2 linked regions of the Oryzias latipes genome follow. The protein of the gene in region 1 binds, or shares a complex with, the protein of each later gene. Links are inferred from orthologs where the notes say so. Each region holds a gene or a part of one and is shown in the gene's direction. Other genes may lie near its edges. The genes, in order: kiaa0895l and tubulin alpha-1B chain.

Region 1 (3,043 bases):
AGACCAGCCTCTTATTTTTCTAAAGGGGAAAGGAGCCTTTGTGGCTCCTGCTGGGCTGTTCTGGGCTCTTTGAGTGTTGATGGTTGCAGACCCCTGATCCAGTTTTCTGCGTCAGAACACAGGAGGGAGCTTGTGGCCCCACCCAGCGTGGTTGCTATGTCACAAATACAATCTGCTTCAAACTGCTACTGATTGACAACAATTAGAATAAAGAAATACTCAGAAATACATTGTTTTTATTTCCTTCATCTATGTCCCGCATCATCAGAAAAATGTGCCTGTGTGTGTGTGTGTGCGTGTGTGTGTGTGTGTGTGTGTGTGCGTGTGTGTGCGTGTGCACAGGTTGCTTTAGCAAAGATCAGGTTTACCTGGATGGGATCCTGAGGATCCTGAGGCATCGAAGAAACATCGATTTCAAAATGCTGACCTCTCTAGGAAAGGTGAGTGTTAACATTCTTGTACCTGTAAATTGTCCCTGAACAGGTGTTTTTCTCATATTCACCTGCACAGGTGTCTGTATGTTGATCTTGCACAGTTGTTTTTCACATATTCACCTGCACAGGTGTCTGTATGTTGAACTTGCCGAGGTGTTGTATGTTGATCTTGCACAGTTGTTTTTCACATATTTACCTGCACAGGTGTCTTACGAGGATGTGGAGAGACTCCGTCCGTTTGCAGATCTTTCCCGGACCAGAATCCCTCACTTCATGCGGGACCCGGAAAAGTACCTTCATCACCTGGACCACATCGTCTCCATCAACGAGCTGGACGACTCAGTGCTGCAGCAGCTGCTCCCCTGAGACTCTGCCCCCCTAAGCCGGAGGACACCAACTATTGGTCGTGCTTTATAGGAGACTACTTGTGGTCAAACTTGAAGGGACAGGAGTCTGCGCTTCACTGCATGTTTGCTGCGTCCTGCTGCACACACGTACCTCAGACAGTAAAGGCCATCCATGTGCGCTTTTGTGTGCACTGCTTCAGTTTGCTTCACTGCTTCAGTTTGCTTCACTGCTTCACTCTGAGAGCTCATGATTGTCTCAGGTTTCAGCTTTATGTTGGATGCCTTAGAACAGGGGTGCCCAAATCCAGGCCCTCGAAGGCCGACCTCCTGCTGGTTTTCCAGGAATCCTGCCTTATTTGCTGCTGATTACCTGGACAGGTGTGTTTAGCCAATAAGGAGCTTCGATGGAAGGCTGCAGGATGCCGGCCCTCGGGGCCTGGATTTGGACGTCTCCGCCTTGGAACTTAAGTTTTATTACACGTTTGTAAAGAATCCTCACATATCAAGTGCCAGATGTCCACGAGTCTCACCTGAGCTTCAGGTAGTAAGTTGTGACCCCCCCCCCCTCCCCACCTCTGTCTAAAAATGTAGCTATCAGAAAAAGGGTGTGTGTGTGTGTGGGGGGGGGGGGGTAATGACAGTTAAAATCTTAAACTCCTCCTCCTGACTGAGAGTGACCCCCCCAACCCCACACTAGACATGGAAGTTACTGAGCATGCTCAGTTAGGTCTGAACAGCTGCCTTTAAAATATTCAACTTCTGATCATATGAGACCTTCTGGGGAATATCTGGAAAGTGAAGGTGAACCCCCCCCCCCGACCTGTCTCTCATCACCGACATTATGCAGCTGTTGGGGGGGGGGGGGGGGGGTCAGGTGTTGGGCCGTGCCTTTGCCGTGTGGATCTCGTCAGCTGCTGCTCTTTGCTGTGTTTCATACTGAAGATGATCTGCTTCAGAACCACGGACAGAAGGGGAGGGGGCACCGCAGCCCCCCACCCCCACCCCCACACACACACAGGTCAGGTCAACTTTCAATTTAAACAGTACTTCATGCACATACATGTGTTCCACTTCCGTTTGAAGATCCCTATAAGACAGACGCCGTTCAGAGTACTAACCACGGAATTTATGGTTTATTTATTGAACTGATGCTCAGATCTGTGTCACTTCCTGTATGCACTTCACGTGTGGTGGGCGGAGCTTGTTTCTCTTTGTGTTTTGTGTGACGCCGCTCCTCCTGCAGGTTCAGGTTCTGACTTCACTGCAAATGAAGGATCCTGGGAAAAGCTGGTTCTCTTAAGAGAACCCAGAGTTTCAGTGGATGGTCATTGGATGCTGCCCCCCCCTTCCCAGCGGGGGCCCAGGGTTCTCTGTAGACCCTGCTCTACCAAAAAAAGCATTCACATCTACTTCTTCAGCCTTTTGATCAGTCACTGTTTGAATGGCGAAGCAGCTTTAACCTCTGATGAGTGAACGGCGAACGGAGGATGTTTCTGTGTCACTGCTCCTTCTTTCTTTGTAATCTTGACCTGGATTGTCGGGCATGGCAGCTTTGCAGTGGTTTTTAAATAAACGTCTTTCATATTTGGACTCTTCTGGATCATTTCAAGTAATCAAGACGAGCAAGTAACAATAAAATAACAAAACAACTTTCAGTAATTTCACAACACAACAAATGTTTGGAGCATTCACTTTGGAGAGGATTCGGTTGGAGGCTGCATAACGTACGGTTCGGTTTCTGATCAATCACTGCTCACCGACGACGTCCAACTCCCAACATGGCGGCGTCCGTATTGCAAAACAAAAAATGGCGACTGAATTGAGTTTATTTGGTTGGAGCTGAAAGCAAACCATTTTCTACCCCTCTGGCTCCTCCCCATTGCTCTAATCGTAGGGGCATTTGGAGCTGAAGTGGTGTCCCAAAATGTTTTCTTTCAAGGGGGAGCCACACATGTAAGTAATGACTTTTTGTGTTTTAGCGTAACTTTTTAAAATAAGAAGACTTCTGTATTTCGAGCGCTGGCACCTGCGGCTAACGTAGATGACCGGCGACGACTGATGACATCATCAAGTGCTATTAACATCCGAATTCAAAGACATTCTGGTTGTGTCTGAATTCCTTCCCTACTCACTACATAGAGCATTCGCCATTTTGTACTGTTGTCCGAATCTACAATTCCAAAATCCTTTGCCCTGGAAATTTCCCAGAAGTCTCTGAGAAAAACCTGTGTGCATCCACGCTCACTAGATTGGCAAATATAG
Region 2 (4,597 bases), on another chromosome or scaffold:
ATTATATCAGAGCTAATTATATGACCTTAACTGGATTTTTTAAGCCATGAGGTGCACTTGAAATCCTTGAGTTTCTTCAAAAATAGAAAATCCACCTTATAATCAAATGCGCCTTATTTTTGTCTGTGCTTACTGACCTCCAGTTGATTTTTTTGTGGTACATGGTTATGGTATAAATTTATGGTGCACAAAAATCTGTCAAAATGTTTTAGTTTGACTTGTGATTCTGTCCTTCAGCCGTTAGTGAATGCATTGAGAAAAGTTTAGTCATTTTATTTTTGAGCTCTGTTTTTCCCCCAACTCTTTTCTGTTGTAAGGCGACATTGGGTGTCCAGAAAGGCGCCTGATAAATAAAAATAAAATAGTTATTTTTGTCTTTTGTTACCTTTTTGTCCTTGAATGCTTTTTAATTAATCGTTACTTTTAAACTTAAAAACTTGTACTTTTGTTTAACCAGAGAGCCTTCATGGAGGAGTGAAAGAGTCACGTGTGGCTTTGGAGCCACAGGTTGCAGACCCCTGATCTAAATGATTAATTTCTTTGCAAGACAGTTTTCACATCAGTGTCAGTATTATCAGGAGACGCTGATGATCAGTGTTTGAAATTATACATAAAGGCAAGAGTTTACAGTTAGAAATGAATGTATGAATGAATGTAATAATAAAGTATTGTGAGGCTTCACAAAAAAATTGAAAAATTTGTACCTGTTGTATTAAACCAGACTTAATTCCATAATGGTCAAGCAGAGTGACACTGAGACAATTAAAATGTGTTTTCTGTCTGTGGTCAGTCACTTTAAGCTTTTCTTAGTTTTTACTTTACCAAGCCAAAAAAAACAAAAAACCTTTTTCTTTGTAAACCCAAACACTTAATTATGGCCCGCAGCAGTCATAGTTTCATTTTGTGTTCTGAAGAACTGTCTTTACTTGGATTTTTGGAAACACCTCAACTGTCTGTCTTGATCAGCTAAAAGTGGATTTGTTTTTACCTGCTTATTAAGAGAGTGTGACTATTTTTAAGGCACATGGACCCAAGGTTCTATATTTTGTCCATCTTTTTTCAAACATTACATTTTTATTTTATGGTCCTATATCTGAGTGAAGCTGAGGCTGGTCCTCACAAATACTTCCTGTGAAAGCTAGAACTTTGTCTTTAATGCTCTGGTGGTTTTGATCATTTTTTTCTCAGTTCTAGGCAAACAAAATTACTGCAAGGCAAAAAAAAAAGAAAAACGACCATGGTACTGTGGTCTTAATGGTTTACATACAGTCCTTTGTAGTATTAATAGACCAGTTTTCAGAAAACATACTTCTAGACATATTTTTATTGCTTATCTTTGCTTGAGGCTCTCGTGTTCACTTGCATTGTAACGTACTTTTTCAAAAACATTGGTGGCTGTAGATGTTTTGTTCCACTTCTGAAGGTATTATAGTGTAAATCACTTGAAAATAACACAAGACTAATCAAATGTGTTGGAAATTGAATACGTTTTGAATAACAGTAATGACTAATCTATAGCTTGGATATTTAGAGAATGATTTAGGTAAGGGTAAGGTCAGACATTTTTTTCTCTTCTTCCAACAGAGTCCACGCATCTTTTCCTCTCCATGGGAGGATCGCCATGTTGCTTTATGATCTAAGGGGCGGGAAAATGAAGTCAGCATTCTGTCAGGGGGCGGGCTTTCCGTCGACGCTTAACCAATGAAAAAGCCGCTTCTTTGTGCCAAGAAGTTGATTGACAGAAAAACACACCAATAGTAAGAAAGTACCGTTGCAAGCGAATGTAAGCGTCTAACGTCTCCATCAACCGCGCCATTACCTCTTACATCGACCACATAACAGTCGAATCGTGAGATTCAGTTTCGAGGAAAATTCCTGCAAGCTGATCATTTCAACAAAGCAAAATGGTAAGATCTTTTAATACGTTTCTTTTCAATGTAGTGTCGAGTTTCTATTTACACGGATTTGACCCGGTTTTAAATAAATAATAAATGTACCAGAAAAAAACCAGTCAGTTTCCAGATATAAAACATGTCTGTTCTCCAAACAAGTTATGTCCTTTTTATGGTTTCTTTGTTTTAATAAAATTTTGTAAGAAGATGCAGAGATATTCTTGGCTCAGTGAACAAAAGTAGGATCATCATCATCATGCAGTCAGTTGAGCCGCATACTGCGGCATTTTCACTCCCGCCCATGCAACAAAGAAATGCCCGGATGTTAATTAAACGTTTCTGTTAAGCGGAAAAGCTGAGGATGGGAGGATTTACCTTACCCTCTGGCTTTAAGACATCTCGTATAATAACGAAAGTAGCAATTGCTGAAATTCGCTGCCATCATCATGGCGATTATTCTGATTAAATATGGATGACTCTGTAAGTAACAGACACCGACATATTGGAGGGTCTTTGGTTTTTCTCCCACTTCAACGTGGTATCTACAGCTCGCTCTACTGTTATTTTGAAAGTTTAAATACATTTCTTTAGACTTTGCTTAATAGTATCCCACTAGGGATTATTTTAAGACGGTTTTAAATGAATTTAAGGCTCGCCTGCACGGGGGCTTGTTGCCTGGCAACGGGGTTCTTTGTAGGAAGACAGTGCGCCTCTCTCTGGACAAAAAAAAAATTATCTTCTTCTGAAAAGAAAAAAAACGATGATGCATTTAAGAATTTGTAAACAATTATTTTAATGGTTGAAATTATACAAAAACATATTTTTATACTTAAACAACTATACCAACCTTTTTCCCTCCACAGCGTGAGTGTATTTCAGTGCATGTTGGTCAGGCCGGAGTCCAGATTGGCAATGCCTGCTGGGAACTCTACTGTCTGGAACATGGGATCCAGCCGGATGGCCAGATGCCCAGTGACAAAACCATTGGAGGAGGAGACGACTCATTCAACACCTTCTTTAGTGAAACTGGAGCTGGAAAGCACGTTCCCAGAGCTGTGTTTGTAGATCTGGAGCCCACGGTTATCGGTGAGCATCTCTTCCAGATGAACATGTTCTGATGAAGGTGCTGGAGTTTGTGAAAACTAAAGGGATTTGTCGTGTCGTCAGATGAGGTGCGCACTGGGACCTACAGGCAGCTGTTCCACCCTGAGCAGCTGATCACCGGGAAGGAGGATGCTGCCAACAACTACGCCCGTGGACACTACACCATCGGTAAAGAAATCATCGACCTGGTTCTGGACAGGATCCGGAAACTGGTGGGTACAATCAGAGCATGTGTTTGTGTTTGTCTCGTAGTGGTGCAATAACAGTATCTGGCATTTGTTTTCTTGTGTGTCTTCAGGCGGATCAGTGCACTGGTCTTCAGGGCTTCCTGGTGTTCCACAGCTTTGGTGGAGGCACTGGCTCTGGTTTCACCTCTCTGCTGATGGAGCGTCTGTCTGTGGACTATGGCAAGAAGTCCAAGCTGGAGTTCTCCATCTACCCAGCTCCTCAGGTGTCCACTGCTGTGGTGGAGCCCTACAACGCCATCCTGACCACCCACACCACCCTGGAGCACTCTGACTGTGCCTTCATGGTGGACAATGAGGCCATCTACGACATCTGCCGCAGGAACCTGGACATCGAGCGTCCCACCTACACCAACCTGAACAGGCTGATCAGCCAGATCGTGTCCTCCATCACTGCCTCTCTGCGCTTTGATGGTGCCCTCAATGTTGATCTGACAGAGTTCCAGACCAACCTGGTGCCATATCCACGTATCCACTTCCCTCTGGCCACCTACGCCCCCGTCATCTCTGCAGAGAAAGCTTACCATGAGCAGCTTTCAGTGGCTGAGATCACCAATGCCTGCTTTGAGCCGGCCAATCAGATGGTGAAGTGTGACCCCCGCCACGGAAAGTACATGGCTTGCTGTCTTCTGTATCGTGGTGACGTGGTGCCCAAAGATGTGAATGCAGCCATCGCCACCATCAAAACAAAACGCTCCATCCAGTTTGTGGACTGGTGTCCCACTGGCTTCAAGGTTGGCATCAACTACCAGCCGCCCACTGTAGTTCCTGGTGGAGACCTGGCCAAGGTCCAGAGGGCGGTGTGCATGCTGAGCAACACCACTGCTATTGCAGAGGCCTGGGCTCGGCTGGACCACAAGTTTGACCTGATGTACGCCAAGCGCGCCTTTGTTCACTGGTATGTGGGTGAGGGTATGGAGGAGGGAGAGTTCTCTGAGGCCAGAGAGGACATGGCGGCTCTGGAGAAGGATTATGAGGAGGTTGGAGTCGACTCCATTGAAGGTGAAGGAGAGGAGGAAGGAGAAGAGTATTAAACAAGGAGGAGGAATCAGTTACAGAGGAAGGAAATGGCTCAAGCATTCCAAAAAGATGTTTGTTGTTCTAGAAAATGTTAAGATGTTCAATGAAACCTCCTGAAAATGTCAAGATTCGGTTTGATATGAATAAAATCTGACATGTGTCATGCATTAAATTGTACATGGAGGTAATATAAAACTACAATAAAATCGGTTTCTCCATCAGAAAAAGGCCTCATTGTCTTTCATGTCTTTTTGCAATTAATTCTTATTTCTTTTACCAAAAAAAATGCAGTTTTAGCATTTTAGCTTCCACTGTTTTTTTTATTATGTAAAGCTT

The links.
Region 2: the proteins of kiaa0895l (region 1) and tubulin alpha-1B chain are in contact, whole or in part, in a cryo-EM structure (PDB 7Z6S), measured with the Homo sapiens proteins. The link is inferred for Oryzias latipes from reciprocal best matches to the Homo sapiens genes MATCAP1 and TUBA1B. Residues at the interface, in NP_001035805.1 of Homo sapiens: Lys219, Cys220, Trp223, Val226, Arg227, Gly237, Glu238, Val239, Val240, Val241, Gln242, Leu243, Met253, Met254, Val255, Glu256, Asn257, Ser258, Arg259, Pro260, Thr261; in NP_006073.2 of Homo sapiens: Asp345, Trp346, Arg422, Glu423, Ala426, Ala427, Glu429, Lys430, Asp431, Glu433, Glu434, Val435, Gly436, Val437, Asp438, Ser439, Val440, Glu441.

What each region holds. Positions count from the first base shown.
Region 1 is NC_019861.2:3,745,870-3,748,912, forward strand, and holds the end of kiaa0895l (uncharacterized protein KIAA0895-like homolog), read left to right. Parts: intron 1-342; coding exon 343-440; intron 441-638; coding exon 639-800; 3' UTR 801-2,371; downstream 2,372-3,043. UniProt on the Homo sapiens protein: Tyrosine carboxypeptidase that removes the C-terminal tyrosine residue of alpha-tubulin, thereby regulating microtubule dynamics and function. Also able to remove the C-terminal phenylalanine residue of alpha-tubulin TUBA8.
Region 2 is NC_019865.2:25,869,887-25,874,483, reverse strand, and holds tubulin alpha-1B chain, read left to right. Parts: upstream 1-1,738; 5' UTR 1,739-1,904; coding exon 1,905-1,907; intron 1,908-2,755; coding exon 2,756-2,978; intron 2,979-3,059; coding exon 3,060-3,208; intron 3,209-3,294; coding exon 3,295-4,275; 3' UTR 4,276-4,488; downstream 4,489-4,597. UniProt on the Homo sapiens protein: Tubulin is the major constituent of microtubules, protein filaments consisting of alpha- and beta-tubulin heterodimers. Microtubules grow by the addition of GTP-tubulin dimers to the microtubule end, where a stabilizing cap forms.